Notamacropus eugenii: one gene and its partner. The protein of the gene in region 2 purifies or fractionates together with the protein of the main gene of each other region. This does not show direct contact. Links are inferred from orthologs where the notes say so. Each region holds a gene or a part of one and is shown on either strand. Other genes may lie near its edges.

Evidence for each region. Proteins that work in one complex are often made in the same cells at the same time.
Region 1: the proteins of ANAPC4 (region 2) and CCNB1 purify together in Homo sapiens (affinity purification with western blotting; 3 studies listed by BioGRID). This does not show direct contact. The link is inferred for Notamacropus eugenii from reciprocal best matches to the Homo sapiens genes ANAPC4 and CCNB1.

Annotation. Positions count from the first base shown.
Region 1 is NC_092875.1:474,473,811-474,481,071, reverse strand, and holds the start of CCNB1 (G2/mitotic-specific cyclin-B1), read left to right. Parts: upstream 1-4,215; 5' UTR 4,216-4,353; coding exon 4,354-4,512; intron 4,513-5,742; exon of another isoform or gene 5,743-6,394; coding exon of another isoform or gene 6,395-6,415; intron 6,416-6,852; coding exon 6,853-7,029; intron 7,030-7,113; coding exon 7,114-7,227; intron 7,228-7,261. UniProt on the Homo sapiens protein: Essential for the control of the cell cycle at the G2/M (mitosis) transition.
Region 2 is NC_092877.1:78,210,371-78,217,583, forward strand, and holds the start of ANAPC4 (anaphase-promoting complex subunit 4), read left to right. Parts: upstream 1-4,144; 5' UTR 4,145-4,403; coding exon 4,404-4,515; intron 4,516-4,621; coding exon 4,622-4,743; intron 4,744-7,213. UniProt on the Homo sapiens protein: Component of the anaphase promoting complex/cyclosome (APC/C), a cell cycle-regulated E3 ubiquitin ligase that controls progression through mitosis and the G1 phase of the cell cycle.

The DNA of each region.
Region 1 (7,261 bases), on a different chromosome or scaffold from region 2:
ACCAATCATATGTATCCTAGACTTAGACATATATATATATATACATATATATAAAATCGGTTGGGGTTAGGGATTCTCACCTGATTCTAACCAATTCCATCAGATTATCTATCTATCTATCTATGCTCCCTTACATTTATCTTGTCTAACAAGACAATAAGAGCAACTTGGTATTCTTTAGTCAGTCCTGACTGTTAGTTGACTTGGGGATGTTTCAAACCTAATACCACACCTCTCTCTTGGGCTATTTCCCTGATGAATTCTTCGTAAAATATCTTCGAAGTAGATGCCAAAAGTGCATGTTCCTTTAAGAACTAACCACTTCTTACCCACTCCCTAATCCCTCCCTGAATCACTATTTGCATATTTGGCACAAGTTATACTGTAGAACATCCTATATAAACTTTCCCTGTACCCCTCTAAGGTTGCAGGTTCCCTAAGAACTTTTGCCCACTGAAAAGCATCAAAAATCTTAACCTTGAGCTCAACAATACTTGAGTTCACAAATTCTTCTCCAGATGGCCTGTGCAAGGAGCTCTAGCCTTGGAGTTCCTGTACCACCCCTCATCAGCATCTTCAGCACCTGGCACATATTAGGCACTTAATAAAAGCTTATTGTTTGAGTACAGACTGTTGTTTGGGAACAGAGATGATAAAACCACCTCTTAATCCTGCTTGCTTTCTCTGCCAAAAAGACTGATCTTTGAACTGGAAAATTAAACAATAATGGCTAAAAGGAAGTCGAAATCAAGATAAATAAGCACCCACCTGCCTTTGATGAGTTCAAGTCATGGGGTCCAAATTAACTGCATCAGAGGGTGTTGAAAGAACTAGTCGATGTGATTTCTGAGCTATTGTCAGTGTGAGTTTTGAAACTGTGAAGAACTGGAGAGTAACTGCTGGACCAGAAAAGAGCAGAAGTTGTCCTGAAGTTCAAAATAGGGGGAAATGAATGAAACTTGCAAACAATAGACAAGATTACAATTCCCAGCAAGATTGTAGAACGTATTATTAAAGGGACAGTTGGTGAATACCTAGAGAAGAAAATGATCAGGGCACTGCTGGGAGAGCGCTCAATTGGTCAAACCCTCCTGGAAAGCAATTTGTGCCTATTTCCAAGAGTCATGACCTTTGACCTGGCCAAGCCACAAAAGAAATCAGGGAAAGGCCTCACCTACAAAAATAGGGCAACTCTTTTTCTCACAGCAAAGAACTGGGAACAAAAGAAGTTCCATCCATTGATCAAACCAACTATGACATATTAACGGAATGGAATATTATTTCCCTGTAAAAAATGATGAAAGGGATGGTTTTAGAGACTCCTTAGGGGAAACCTGTATAAATTGATAGTGAAGTGAGTAAAGCCAGAAGTGTGTAAAGTAGCAACAACTACGTAGAGAAAACTTTGAAAGGCTTCCGAATGCTGATCAATGCAATGAGGACGGATGATGAAGCCAGCTATCTCCTGAAAAACAGGGGTGATGGCCTCAAGGTGCAGAACTATACATGTGCTTTGAAGTACAACAAATGTGCTGATATTTGTTGCTTGACTATGCTTATAACAAGTTTTGTCTTGTTTTTGTTTTAATTTGGAAAGAGGATTTGTTTGAGAAAGGGGAGTGACCTGTAGAATTACTTCCTCCTCCCCCCAAAAAGGATCATTCAAGTATTTTCTAATGGACAGAAGGTAACAGTAGAAAGTTCAGAAGGAAACATACAAACAGGATAACTTTGAATTTATTATGAACTTTTTTTAAAAAGCAAGATCTATAAAATAGATTCATGTTTTCACATATAATTTTTTTCTCTTCCTTTTCTATTCAAATAGCCTCTTTTTTAAAAGTATTGGGTGTGTAACACACCACCCTGGGCTCACTCCTCCAGCCCATACCATACTGGCACTGTCAGATTGGGTCTCCAGAGGTGTGCCTACTAGGATTGCAGGATTTGAAGGCTAATTGTGTGGGTGGCTACCCTAACATAAGCTTCTGAGCCCCAACAGGTGTGCTTTCCCTTTCCCTCAGTTCTTTAGCAAATAAATTTTGCTCAAATACCTTAAAAAGGACAGTAGTTAAGAAGTACATTCCCCAGCACCAGGGGTACAGTCTCCCACAAATAAGCCCAGCCTCCAAAATTAGGAGAAGATTGGGCATAAATTTGAAATACAATAATAGCAAAGGACATGTATAAGGAATATGCATGGCCAAGGCAATTAATAGCACTGGATTTGCTAGACTGATATCCTTCTTCTGAAGGGTCCTCATGAAATTCGATGTGGAACATGATGTCAGTAACGAGAGTTTCTCTGCTACTCTCCTGAGATGGTTCCTCATAGGGATTAGCATCTACGGTAAACAGGTGGCTTATTTTTCTAAGGTGCAGTGTCTGGACTGGCCAGGCCAATATGTTCCTGGGTAGGTCCAGCAGGTCACTTGGCAGCTGTGTGCCTGGCTCCTTGCCAGGCTTGGCTGCTGCCAGGCTGGCTACACGCTAGGCAGGCTGCTTCACCACAGGACAACAGAAGCCTGAAAGGGGAGGGGTAAATTCATGAAAACAATAATAACAAAATGGTAGAGCTGAGCCGTAACTTCAGACATCATCTGGTCCATCCCCGTCCAGATCATGAATCCCAGCTACAGCACTCAGCCATTTAGAAAGCATCTTATGTCACAGACACTGTGGGATACAAAGACTGAACAACGTCTGCTTTCAAAAAGCTTCCGCGGGAGGCAGAGCCAAGACCGTGGGCTAACAGCAAGGACTTGCTAGAGCTTTCCTCCCAAACCCAGCCAAATACCTGTAAAATATGACTCTAAACAAATTCTGGAACTGCAGAACCCACAGAATGACAGAGGGAAGCAATCTCCAGCCCATGACAGCCTGGGACCTTACTCTCATCGCACTTGGTTTAAGGAGGGAATAACATGCACACTCAACTTGGGATGAAAATCTTTCTCAAACTACAGTAAAGTAGAGGGAAGGGGATAAGAGGGGGGTGGGGATAAGAGGGGGGCGGGGTTGAGAGGTGGGGTGGGCAAATGGGAGGAGGGGGTAATTAGAAGTAAACACTTTTGGGGAGGGACAAGATCAAATGAGAGAGTAGAATAAATGGGGGGCGGGATAGGATGGAGGGAAATACAGTCTTTTACAACATGACTTTTATGGAAGTCCTTTGCATAACTACACATGTATAATCAAAATACTGAATTGCTTTCCTTCTCAGTGGGGATGGGCGGGGAGGGAAGGAGAGAAGTTGAAACTCAAAGTTTTAAAACTGAATGTTAAAAATTGTTTTTACATGCAACTGGGAAATAAGAAATACAGGTAATGAGGTATAGAAATCTATCTTGCCCTACAAGAAAATAGAGGAGATGGGGATAAGGAAAGGGAGCGGTGTGATAGAAGGGAGGACACATGGAGGGAAGAGGAAATCAGAATGCAAGGTATTATGGGGTGGGGGGAGGGGAGAAATGGGGAGAAAATTTGGAACTCAAAATCTTGAGGAAAGCTGGCGTTTCATATTCACATCTGTTGCCCTTGGCCTAGCCTGTCTGTTACCATTGTCTGTTACCTCCGGATTGCCCCACTTGCTTCCCACCCAAACCCTGCATTGTCCGATATCTCCCAATTGCTTCCAGCTGTTTCCCAGCCTGGATATGTACCCCAGTCCCATCAAGATCCTCCTTAGACCCTCCTCCCAGAGCACAAGACCACCTTTGGAAAGTTTCCTCCTCCCTTCATGAAGGCGCTGCGATTCAGTCCAGCTCAGACTCGGTCTAGCTGGGATTGTGTCTGGCCCACTTGTGAATACAAGTGTTACAAATGCTTAGGCTCCTTAGGAGTCGACCCAGTATGGTGAATCTTTAATGAACTTTGCTTTTCTTTGACTTTAAGAAGGCTTGAGTTGAACTCATTTGAGCAGGACCCAGTGTGTGGGTATTCTGGGGTCCCCAGCACCCCTCCACCTCAACAACATTATAGATCAAATCAACCTCTTACAATATTCTAACCTGTCAAAAACTACTCAGGCTCTTCCTTTCATTTTCCCCTTTGATCCTACAGTCGCTCACAAGGAGTCCATTTCCACGTTCATGAATTCTGAAATCCCACTAGTAATTGGTTGTTGTTTGCTCTGCTCTGCAGTCCCTTACCCTGCTCTTTATTTTTACATGACCTCTAATTCCTTCATCTTTCGGCTTTTCTTCCCAGGCCATCCCCCTGCCCTGGCTGTATCCCCCTCCTCCTGCACCGTTCTCTCGAGTCTTCCGTCCCCTCATCCTGTCTGTGATCCTGCCTGCCAGGCCCCGCCTTGGGTCGCCCCTGCCTCTGCTGCCTCTACCTGCACTTTTTGTGATGGATGAAGGCAGGATCGTGGCGCTGCGCTGCCGGGCACGTGACAAACATGAGGCTGGACTGAGGAGCAGAGCGCATAGGGAAGGGTCGGTCCGGCCTCGGACGCTGAGGGGACGCCAAGGTGAAGCCTGTGAGAAGACAAACATCTGGTGGTGGGAGGTGACCGGCTACTTTGATGCTTGTGGCTCAGTGGGGGGGGGGGGGGGGGGCAGGAAGGCCCCTGCAGGGTTGGGGAGGGGAGGGGGGTGACTTCACTCAATCCGGCTGACACTGCGGGGCGTCCGTCGGGGGGAGGCGGCGGGGCTCCTGCTGTTTAGGGGGGCGCGCTCTGGGCCCAGCGCTCTACATGTCATTAAAACCAATCCAATTCTGATGGCTTCGTGGCGGTGGCTGGGCAGCCCTAGGAGCCGGCCCGGCTCCGCTTCTCGGTCCGGACAGCGAGGCTAAAGCATGGAGGTGACAGGACAGCGGCCGAGAGGGAGCGGGAGCGGGGGTCTTCACCCAAGGGGCCGCTTGCGGGGTCCTCGCTGCGGGGGCAGACCACGCCGGCGGCCCCGCGCGCTGAACCCACGGGGTCCGGAGCCGCTCCGAGCGGGGGCTTGGCTTCTTCATCGGTTCTGCCCCGGTCCACTTCGCTGCCGGGCCGGGGCTCGGAAGCCGCCTGGGAGAAGCGAGCGTGCGGACAGGGAGGGCGCTGCGAAACGCGGGCGCTCTGGGGGAGCAGCCCTGGAAGTGCGTGCGTGTGCGGGGTGCGGGTGTGTGCGGGGGTGATGTAGAAAATGTGTGTGACTGTTAACCCTGGGAGCGTGTACGGATCACACACTCATACGCATGTTTTCCGTATTCTATATTACATGTGCAGTTATGTGCATGGATTCATTAAAGCCGGAGGCACACACATGTGTATGTATGAATGTACGCGTGCGTGTACATGTGCGTGCGCGTGTGTGTAGGTGTGCATGCACGTACGTGCGTGTCCCGCACCCACGCGGTCCGCTCGGCCCCGCCCAGGCAGTGACCGCGCCAAGGTCACCGCGTCTGACGGCGGGGGAGGGAGGCGGGGCGGACTTCGAGCCGGACCCTGTGACGTCATCAGCTCTTTTTTCTGATCTTAGTTCAGACAACATTTAAAACTTGTAGATGGACTATACGCAGATGTGTACAGACATATTTGACACACATATATATGGAAGATAATACATATACACACATATATACATATGTATGTATATCCTGGAAATGTGCGTAGGTGTCTGTATGTGTACATACGTTTGTCTACATATATACACTTGAGAACGTGCGTCTACATGAAACCTGAACAGACACATCTGCGCATGCGTGTCACGCACACACGCCCGCGCAGGAAGACCCCACCCTCCCGCAGTGGGCGGGGCTGGGAAAGGACTTCCGGGCGCAGAAAGACGAGCGCTCCTGCGCGCTGTTCCCCACGTTAGGCCTTAGGTCCTTCAGCGCAGGCGTAGTTTTTCTCCTTGGTGTCCTCGGGCACCTGGCATAGTGACTGGCACACACCACGTTTCATAAACTTACCGACACTCGGGCATTCGTAGGCCGGCCCGGCCTCTCCTCACCCCCTCCGCCTCCGCCCAGTTTGCGGGGCGCCCCGGGACGCCAGGCCGCGGCTCTCCAGGTGCGACAACCAATCGCCTGGGAGTTGGGGGGAGGAAGAGGGGGAGGAGAGCGCGCACGCTCAGTGTCGGGCCCTGCCACGTGAGTGACGCGGAGCGCTCCCCGGCCCTTAACCCCGCCCTCCTTTCGAACGTCCTGCCGGGATCGCCAAGGAAACGCATTCTCGGAGGAACTCGCAGCCAGCCAATAGAGGGCGAAGGAAGGCGACGAACCAGCCAATGAGCGAGGAGCTGCGCGGGGTTTAAACTTGAGGCTGGGCCGCGGCTCGCCACTGCGTGCTGGGACGAACGGCTGCTTGCTCCGCCGGCGCCGGGAGCTGGGCTGGGGCGGGGGGGGCGCTCTCTGTCCCCGTTCATTCCTTCGTGTGTAGCCGCCGCCTGCAGAGGTGCAAGCCATGGCGCTCCGTGTGACCAGGGTGAGGACCCCCCTCCCGGCTACGAAGGGGGGCTGGGGGCCCCGGAGGGTCCTCGGCGTCGGTGCAGGGGGGCAGGCGCACGAGGCTGCCGAGGGCCGGGCGACCAAGGCTGGAGGCTTGTCTGCGAGAAGGTCCGGCCCGGGAGCGGAGGGTGGGACGGACAGACAGACAGCCCCCCTTGTGTCCCCGGGAGGGCTCCCACTCACCGTGGGGCCCGGCCTCCCCCAGCCTGCTTTCCCCTTGTCTGTGTTGGGGGTGGGCGCAGGAGCACCGAAGGGAAGGGGGGGCCTGGGTTTGTTCTCCGTGACCCAGTAATGGGGGGAGGGGGTCAGGTTTGGGGCCTCTTTGGAGCCCGTGGTTTCCGGACTTGCTTCCTGCTGCCTCCTTTGCAGCGATACACTTGTGACCGTTTTGTGTTTTCGGGGTTCCCTTTGCAGAACATGAAGCTCAACGCTGAGAACAAAGTGAAGGGCGGTGTCCCCGGTGCCAAGAGGGTGCCTGTGCCCACTGCCGCCTCCAAGCCTGCGCTGAGGCCCAGGATGGCCCTGGGCGATATTGGCAACAAAGTGTGTGAGCCCCAGCAGCCCCCTCCGTCAAAAATACCCCTGAAAAAGGTAACTCCCTCACTTGGCTGCACGGGAACGGGCCTTCCTCTTCTAACTGCCAGTTCTCATTTATTTTTCTTCCCTTCTTTCCAGGAAGCCAAAGCTCCCATAGCAAAAGTAGCTGCCAAAAAAGCCCCCAAACCAGTGGAAAAGATGCCTGTGCCTGAACCTGTTAAAGAAGACAAACTGACTCCTGAGCCTATTAAGGTAATTGATTCCTAAAGATATGTATTTTTGCAGA
Region 2 (7,213 bases):
CACCCAGAGAGTACGGCGGCAGATCCAGTGTTCAAACCTAGATCTTCTGACTTTCAATCTAGAGCCAGTCTACTACGTAATGGAAGTCACATGACTTCCTTCAAACATGCTTAGTCTAAGCAGGACACTGCTTGGATACTGGTGGAACACACAGGCCATCTTGCTACGACTGACCCTGCTGCTCTTCTGGTCATCCCATAGCATCTTTTACACCCCTTCTCCCATGTAATTCCTAGTTGCATTCTACTCACACCCACCATATGTTTCTCCATTGCTCTTTGGGTGACCTCTGTCTTTAATTCTTCAGAGGCTGCATCATTTCCAGTCATATAGCCTAAGCAGAAGAGTTATGGTGTTGAAAAACTGGGTCCTGGTTTCAGGGAAAAGACTCCATTCTGCCAATTTTGTTCTGTCTGGAGGTTTTCTTGTGTTGCCCTTTGGGATTCTGCACCTCTTTCAGACTGCATTAAGGGTCAGTAGAGGGAAGTGAATACACATTTATACAGATCACACCTATGATATGTCAGGCACAGTGCCAAACACTTCTACAAACATTTTATTTGATCCTTACAATAACCCTTCCTGGTGTGATCAGTCACACATCATGTTTGTGTGACCCTGGGCAAATCACTCAGTCTCTTAATGCCCCAGGCAATTCTCTAGGATGAAAATGTCCTAAAAGAGTTAGTTGCAGCTCTTCATTGGTAGATGGAATTTCCTCACTGGAGTTCCTTACGCTAATGAAATCACAATTCAAGACCAAAGGCAGATAGATTGTTCAATGGTTTTCAGTCCTGTCCGACTCTTTTTGACCCCATTTGGGGTTTTCTTGGCAAAGATAGTGGAGTGGTTTGCCATTTCTTTCTTTAGCTCATTTTACAGATGAGGAAACTAAAGCAAACAAGGTTAAGTGATTTGCCCAGGGTCACACAGCTAGTGTCTGAGGCTAGATTTGAACTCAGGAAGGTGAGTCTTAGCCCAGGCCCAGCCCTCTATCCACTGCACCATCTAGCTACCCCTGTCTGTCTAGATAGATAGATAGACACATCAAATAAAGCTACCTAGGTTTTTACAAATGTCATTGTGAGGGCTTCTCTTTTATATCCAGGGAGCCTGACTCCATTTGATTGTTATGGGAGAAATATCTCCTCTGAGTTCATGGGGTAAGTTACTGCTGCTGAAATAAATCTACCATAACGCAGGAATTATAAAGGTAAAAACCTTGTTTTATTACATTTAAGCACGGGTTCAGGACTTAAAAAAAATAACCCCGAACAAAGATTAGGACTCTAACAAGGCTTTTTATAGACAAAGTTACATAAGAGAGACAGAGAAATAATTCTTTTACATATAGCAATCTCATACATCCTCTTAAGCCATAAAAATTTTAAAAAATATATACATATTCATAATCCTATGCCTCATGCAAGGTCATAAAACTTAAATTCAGTTAAGCAGAATTATATTCTCCTACATCGCCTAAGGAGACAAACCTAGTTAAACGGACTCTATAAGTAAATTAAGTCAGATTACAAATTAAACCACATTTAAAGGGTTCGAAATGGGCTGATTGAGAGGGGAGATTTACATGCCTATAGTCAAGTGAATTCTCCCTCAAATGAGTTAAGTCAAATTACTTCCAGAAGCCATGACTCCCTTTTTCTGCTTCTCTGAGGAATGTTTCAAGCTTTAAGTAAAATTTCACATATTATGAGATAGGCTTCAGCCTGCTCAATAAACTAACTAGGAGAAACAGTCCTGACCCCATTCTCCCCCCACCCCAAATAGTAATAAAAGGAAATAAAAAATTTAAAAATTCTCTCCTATCTCAGTGCTCCAGCAGTTTAACCCTTTGACTACCAAAACGAATACTAAGAATAAAACTGACATTAAAGAGGTAACTTTTATTCACAATTCTTGTTGATGACCTGAACTATTTAAAATTCTCAAAAATTTTTCTCCAGTCTAACAACTCCAGCGTTGTCATGTAAATAGTCCTAGAAGCCTCACAACTCCTCTTGATTGTTTAATTTGGGGGAAGCAGATTGATTTTCAGATAACAAAACTTTCTGCTTCTCTCCTGCAAGAAACCTTACTCACCATGGCAATTCTTCCCCAATGTGCTTTGTTTATCACCTCAAAAATAGTAAACTGAGCTTCTGGCCCCAAGTTCCTGCTTTCCCTTTTGAAAGAAATTCAAGTCTGCCTTGGGAGTAGGAGGAGAAGAGGCTAGAGATTTTTATTCTGTCTCACTTCAAGACAAAGGGCATTCTCATGCATGGGACATATTAAACATTAATTTATACATATTATACATACATTAAACTTATTGTTGATGTGCTTAGTCCAATTAAGGCTTTTGAAAGTCCACATTACTTTGGTAGAAGGAACATTTTCTTGACTAGGGGGTTCTTAAACTGAGGTCTTTGATAGACTTCCCCCACCAAGATATCCACCAGGGATAGATTTGAGAGAGTCCTTGAAATTGGATGGGGGAAAATTACATCTTTATGTAATTTTATACTCTCCCTTATACTTTTTGTATTTAATGCATTTAAAAACCTTATTCTATAAGGGATCCATAGATTTTTACCAAACTACCAAATGCTTTCATGACACAAAAAAGGTTAAGAACCTCTCCACTAGAATATGCCTAATCACCCTACTCACCAGTAGTACTTAAAAGCAAGCTACTTTGGCAGTTGTTTCACAGATAACACCCAGGAGGCACTGGAGTTTTTGGATTCCAGCTTCTTAACAGGTTCACTCTTGATCTGGTCAGACAGGCAGGCAGCTTTGGAGGGACTAATAATCAGCTTTATTTTCCTCTAGGCTTCTTAGAGGGGCTGTGGGACAACCAGCTCCTACAGCATTCCCTCCTTCTCGGAGGGGCTGGCAAGAAGCAGGGGTGGGGCAACTACTTCTCAATGGGGTCAATCCAGACAGGCACACTTGTGCACTTCCCTAATTCCCCTCAGTCCTCGGTGAGGGGCCCCTTGAGGCACACACAGAATCCCCTATGGGTTCCCTGGGGTTTTCCCCCATGGACATGAAATCCCCCCCCCCCACCAGTGCCCACCTGCTTTATAGGGCAATCAGACAAAGAAGGCATCATGCCAACATGAAGTTCACAAGTTAACTTTAGCAACATTGTCATTCAGCACAATCGTAGTAAATATCAATTCTGTCACTCCCCTATCTCACGGTGCAGCCTCAGTATGATTCTAAGAACTACAATCTAGAATTCTTGAGACTTTTAGCAGTTACTATGTAACACTTGGAAACTGGACATTCCCATGGCCATAGACCCTGAGAAACTAAACTAAAAAAGATAACAAAATCCTCCTTACATACCGTAGTTACATGGAATTTCCAAAAGGAATATCCTATTAACTCATATACTCTGTTATTTTGGAAAAGGCACATCTTTCAGCAGATTTATAGGCACCTAACAGTTCTCAACACTTTGTGAGTTTGACATGCGATGACATTCAACGTTGAAGATGGTGAATGATGGCATAATTCACTCATTCAATAAGCATTTATTAAATATCTTCCGTATGCCAGGCATCGTGCTAAGCACCCGGGATACAGAAAGAGACAAAAGAAAGTTTCAGCCCTTAAGTAGCTTACAAACTCAGGTGGGAGACAACATGCAAACACACACACCTATATATATACGTGCATATACACACATATGTATATGTGCCCACACACACACAGAGTAAACTATGTTCAGGAGCACCTGGAAGGTACCGAAATCAAGAGGGGCTGGGGAAGCCTTCCTGGGGGATTTTAGTCGGGAGGAGTGGAGAAGACAGAGCATTCCAGGTCCAAGCACGGGGCTTTAGGAAAACCAAGCCTTCGTTTTTAGGAGAGATGGGGCGAAATTTTATAAAATATGAGGTTGCCTGCCTTATTTAGAATAGTGGTCTGCAGCCTGCCCTTTGCACAGCACATGGTCCGGGCTGTTCCAGTTTTTGAAAAAGCAGCTATTAAAGTATAAAAGCTTCCCTACAGCTTGAACCCCAGCGAGAAGGAATCCCAAGGGGCTCGCTGCGTGGCCGGAGGGTGCAAATAATCAAACAGCAGCAATGATTTCTACAACAAGCTCTTCCCCCGGAGCTCACGAACTTCAAAGAAAAAATGTTTTATTAATTATTTCACCGTAATTGGCTTCCTTTGGAAACTGACGAGATTTCACTCCTTTTATCTTAGGCGCTGCTCGTCATCGCTGCCATGACTGTAAGGACGGGTCCTCCGCACACGAGCGGTGACGTTTCCTCGGCTGTTGGACTGGAAGCTCCTCGAGGGTAAGGGGTGAAACTGACTTAAAGAGGGCTCTACACAGGCCGGGAGAGTGGCCACTTGGAGCCGCTGCGTCACCCACATCGCGCACGCGCATGGCGCTCCGGCCGGAAGTTCCAACCCCGGAAGTGCCTCTCGAGGCCGGCTCCGCTCCGGAACACGGGATCCGCGGCCGTGGTTGGCGCCACCACGGAGCGAACCTGCCCGGTAATGCGGCTGCGCGGGAGGCGAGGGGGCGGGGCCGGGAGGCGGCTGCCTCGGGAGTCTGGCGGACCCCGCGGTCCAGTTTGAAGAGGGAGGTTTGTCATTGCAGGACCGACTCCCGCGATGCCGGCCTTCAGACAGGTGGGAGAGAAGCAGCTGCCCCAGGAGATCATTTTCATGGCCTGGTCTCCCAAGAGGGACCTCATTGCCTTAGCCAACAAAGTGGGGGAGGTAAGTGAAAGACGGGGGATGCTCTCCCCCGCAACAGCGCCCCAGCCTCCCCGGGCCTCAGTTTCCCCTCCAGCTCCAGGTCTATGATGATACCCCAGAGCCGCTCTCCGGGGAAGGGACCTTTCCAGTCTCTGGGAGAAGCACAATGAACTCAAACACTTCTCCTCACAATCCACTGAAGAAGCTTCTGAAAAACATTGCAAAAATAAACATTGACATAGAGGTCAAAAGTTATCTTTCATTAGAAAGCAAGTTTACTTTAATATTTTTCTGTTTAAGGATTTTTTCATATAGAAAGCTAACACAGTCGCGTAGTAAGACGGAGAAACAATAGGTACCGAAATGGAAGCATGTGCGAGGGGTGCCAACATGGGCCTGATGATCGTGTCATTTTTGGTTTCCCATCGAAGTTGAAATATTTTCCAAAAAATTCAATAATATATAAAAAGTTGCGCATTACACTTTTACCAGTTGTCTGCCCTTTAAAATATCTATACGAAAAGACTAAGGTAGGGCCAAAAAAACCTAAAACCCTTTTACAATGCAAGACATGAGGTTAAAAGGTTGTGTTATCTGCCTTGGAGATGAGGAAATAGGTTCAGTCAGCAGGCATCTATGAAGTGCTTCAAACACTGCGCTAAGTACTGGGGATCCAGAGAAAAGTAAAAAAAAGTGAAGTCTCTGCTTTGCCTCAGACAAGTCAAGTGATTTACCCGGTGTAATGTAGCAAGTACTTGGCAACATTGTAATTCGTTCCCAGGTGCAAAATGTTCTGGTTTTTTTTTGGGGAGGATGATGCTGGAACAGGAAAGAGAGTTAGAGAAGGTTTTTCCAACTGGGCCTTAGTGACTTTTTAGGAGTTCAGTTGGTAAAGAAAGATGCAAGGGAAGAGCATTCCAGAATGAAGAGAGTGAGTGAGAAAGCAGGGGATATGTATGGAAAAAATGGAGTAAGTCATTTTGTTGGCCTGTAAAATGTCTCATTGAATTTGTGGTAAAAAAAAAAAAATGGTTGGGTTTGTTTCCCAGTTCCCACGAACACCTACTCCCTATGTAGTCTTCAGCAAGTCTTTTCACTTTTAGGTATCTGTTCAGTCTCCCATCTTCATGCCTTTGCACATGCCAGACCTGGGATACACTTTCTTATCACTTCTGCCTCTTGGAATTTCTGCTTGTTTTAAAATTCAGTTCAAGAGCTTCCTCTACATGAAGCTTTTTATTATCCTCCTAGATGCTAGTGTCACCTTGTACTCATTCCCTATGTGTTATGTTTATACTTATATGTATACATTTAGTCTTCCTCATTTAAATGTAAGCTCTTTGACAGCTGGGACTAAAGTTCCACTTTTGTTTTTATATCTTCAGTGCGTAGCTCAGTGTCTCATGCGCACAATGCTTAATAAATGCTCTTAGCTTTAAATCTTAGGAGTCTATGAATGTGTGAAGGGGAGTAGTGCGACATGAGTCTGGAAGGGGATGCTACTTGTAGTGAGAACTACATTATGGAGGATCTTGGGCTTTTTTTGACCTTTGATTTCATCTGTGTAAGGAATTTGAGAAAATTTCTTCCACCAGTACTGATGGGCAATTCTGAGTTGCTGAGGGGTTAATTAATTTCATGGTTATGCAGCTCTTATGTGTCAGAGATGATAATTGCACCTGAATCTTTTTGACTCAGTAGGGCAGCTTTGGAGAGTTTTAAATAGGGTGATGGACAGAGTGAAAGGAGGAGACAAATGCTAGAGGTATTGAAGAACACTTCAATATTTATATCATATACATGTAAGCAACTTGAGCATAGACATGTTTATTCTTTGTATTTGTACCCCTATCCCCTAGCATAGTGCCTAGTACGTAGTAATAAATACTTACTGATTTTTTAAGCAAACTGGATTTCTAGAGACATTTCAAATTCATCACATCCAAAACTCACTATCCTTTTCCCCAAACCCATCCCTCTTCCTGATGTCTTAGTTTTTGTCAAAGACATCATCATTCTTTCAGTCTTCCAGGTTTACAGCCTTGACCTTTCATAACCTTACCCCCACCTATTTTTCCACCCACATGGTACATTACTTCTGGGATCTAGCCAGACTGGCCTTCCTCTCTGTTCTTTACACGTGATACTCCATATCCAATCTCCATACCTTTGCACTAGCTGTCCGCAATGACTGCGATGCACTTACTCCTCATTTCTACCTCACAGAATTCTTTTCTTCAAAATGCAGTTTAAATACCACTTTCAGCATGAAGCTTTTTTTAATCCACTCAACAGCTAATGCCATTTCTCTCAAACTACCTTGTAGTTAATTACTTTTTTTATTTATTCTCTTTATATTTATTCTTTTTTATACTTAAATATATCCATGTTGTCAGATTATAAATGCTATAGGAGTAGGGATTATTTCATTTATTGTGTTTGTGTCCCTAGTACCATGCCTGGTCTATAGTAGGTGCTTAACAAATGCTTG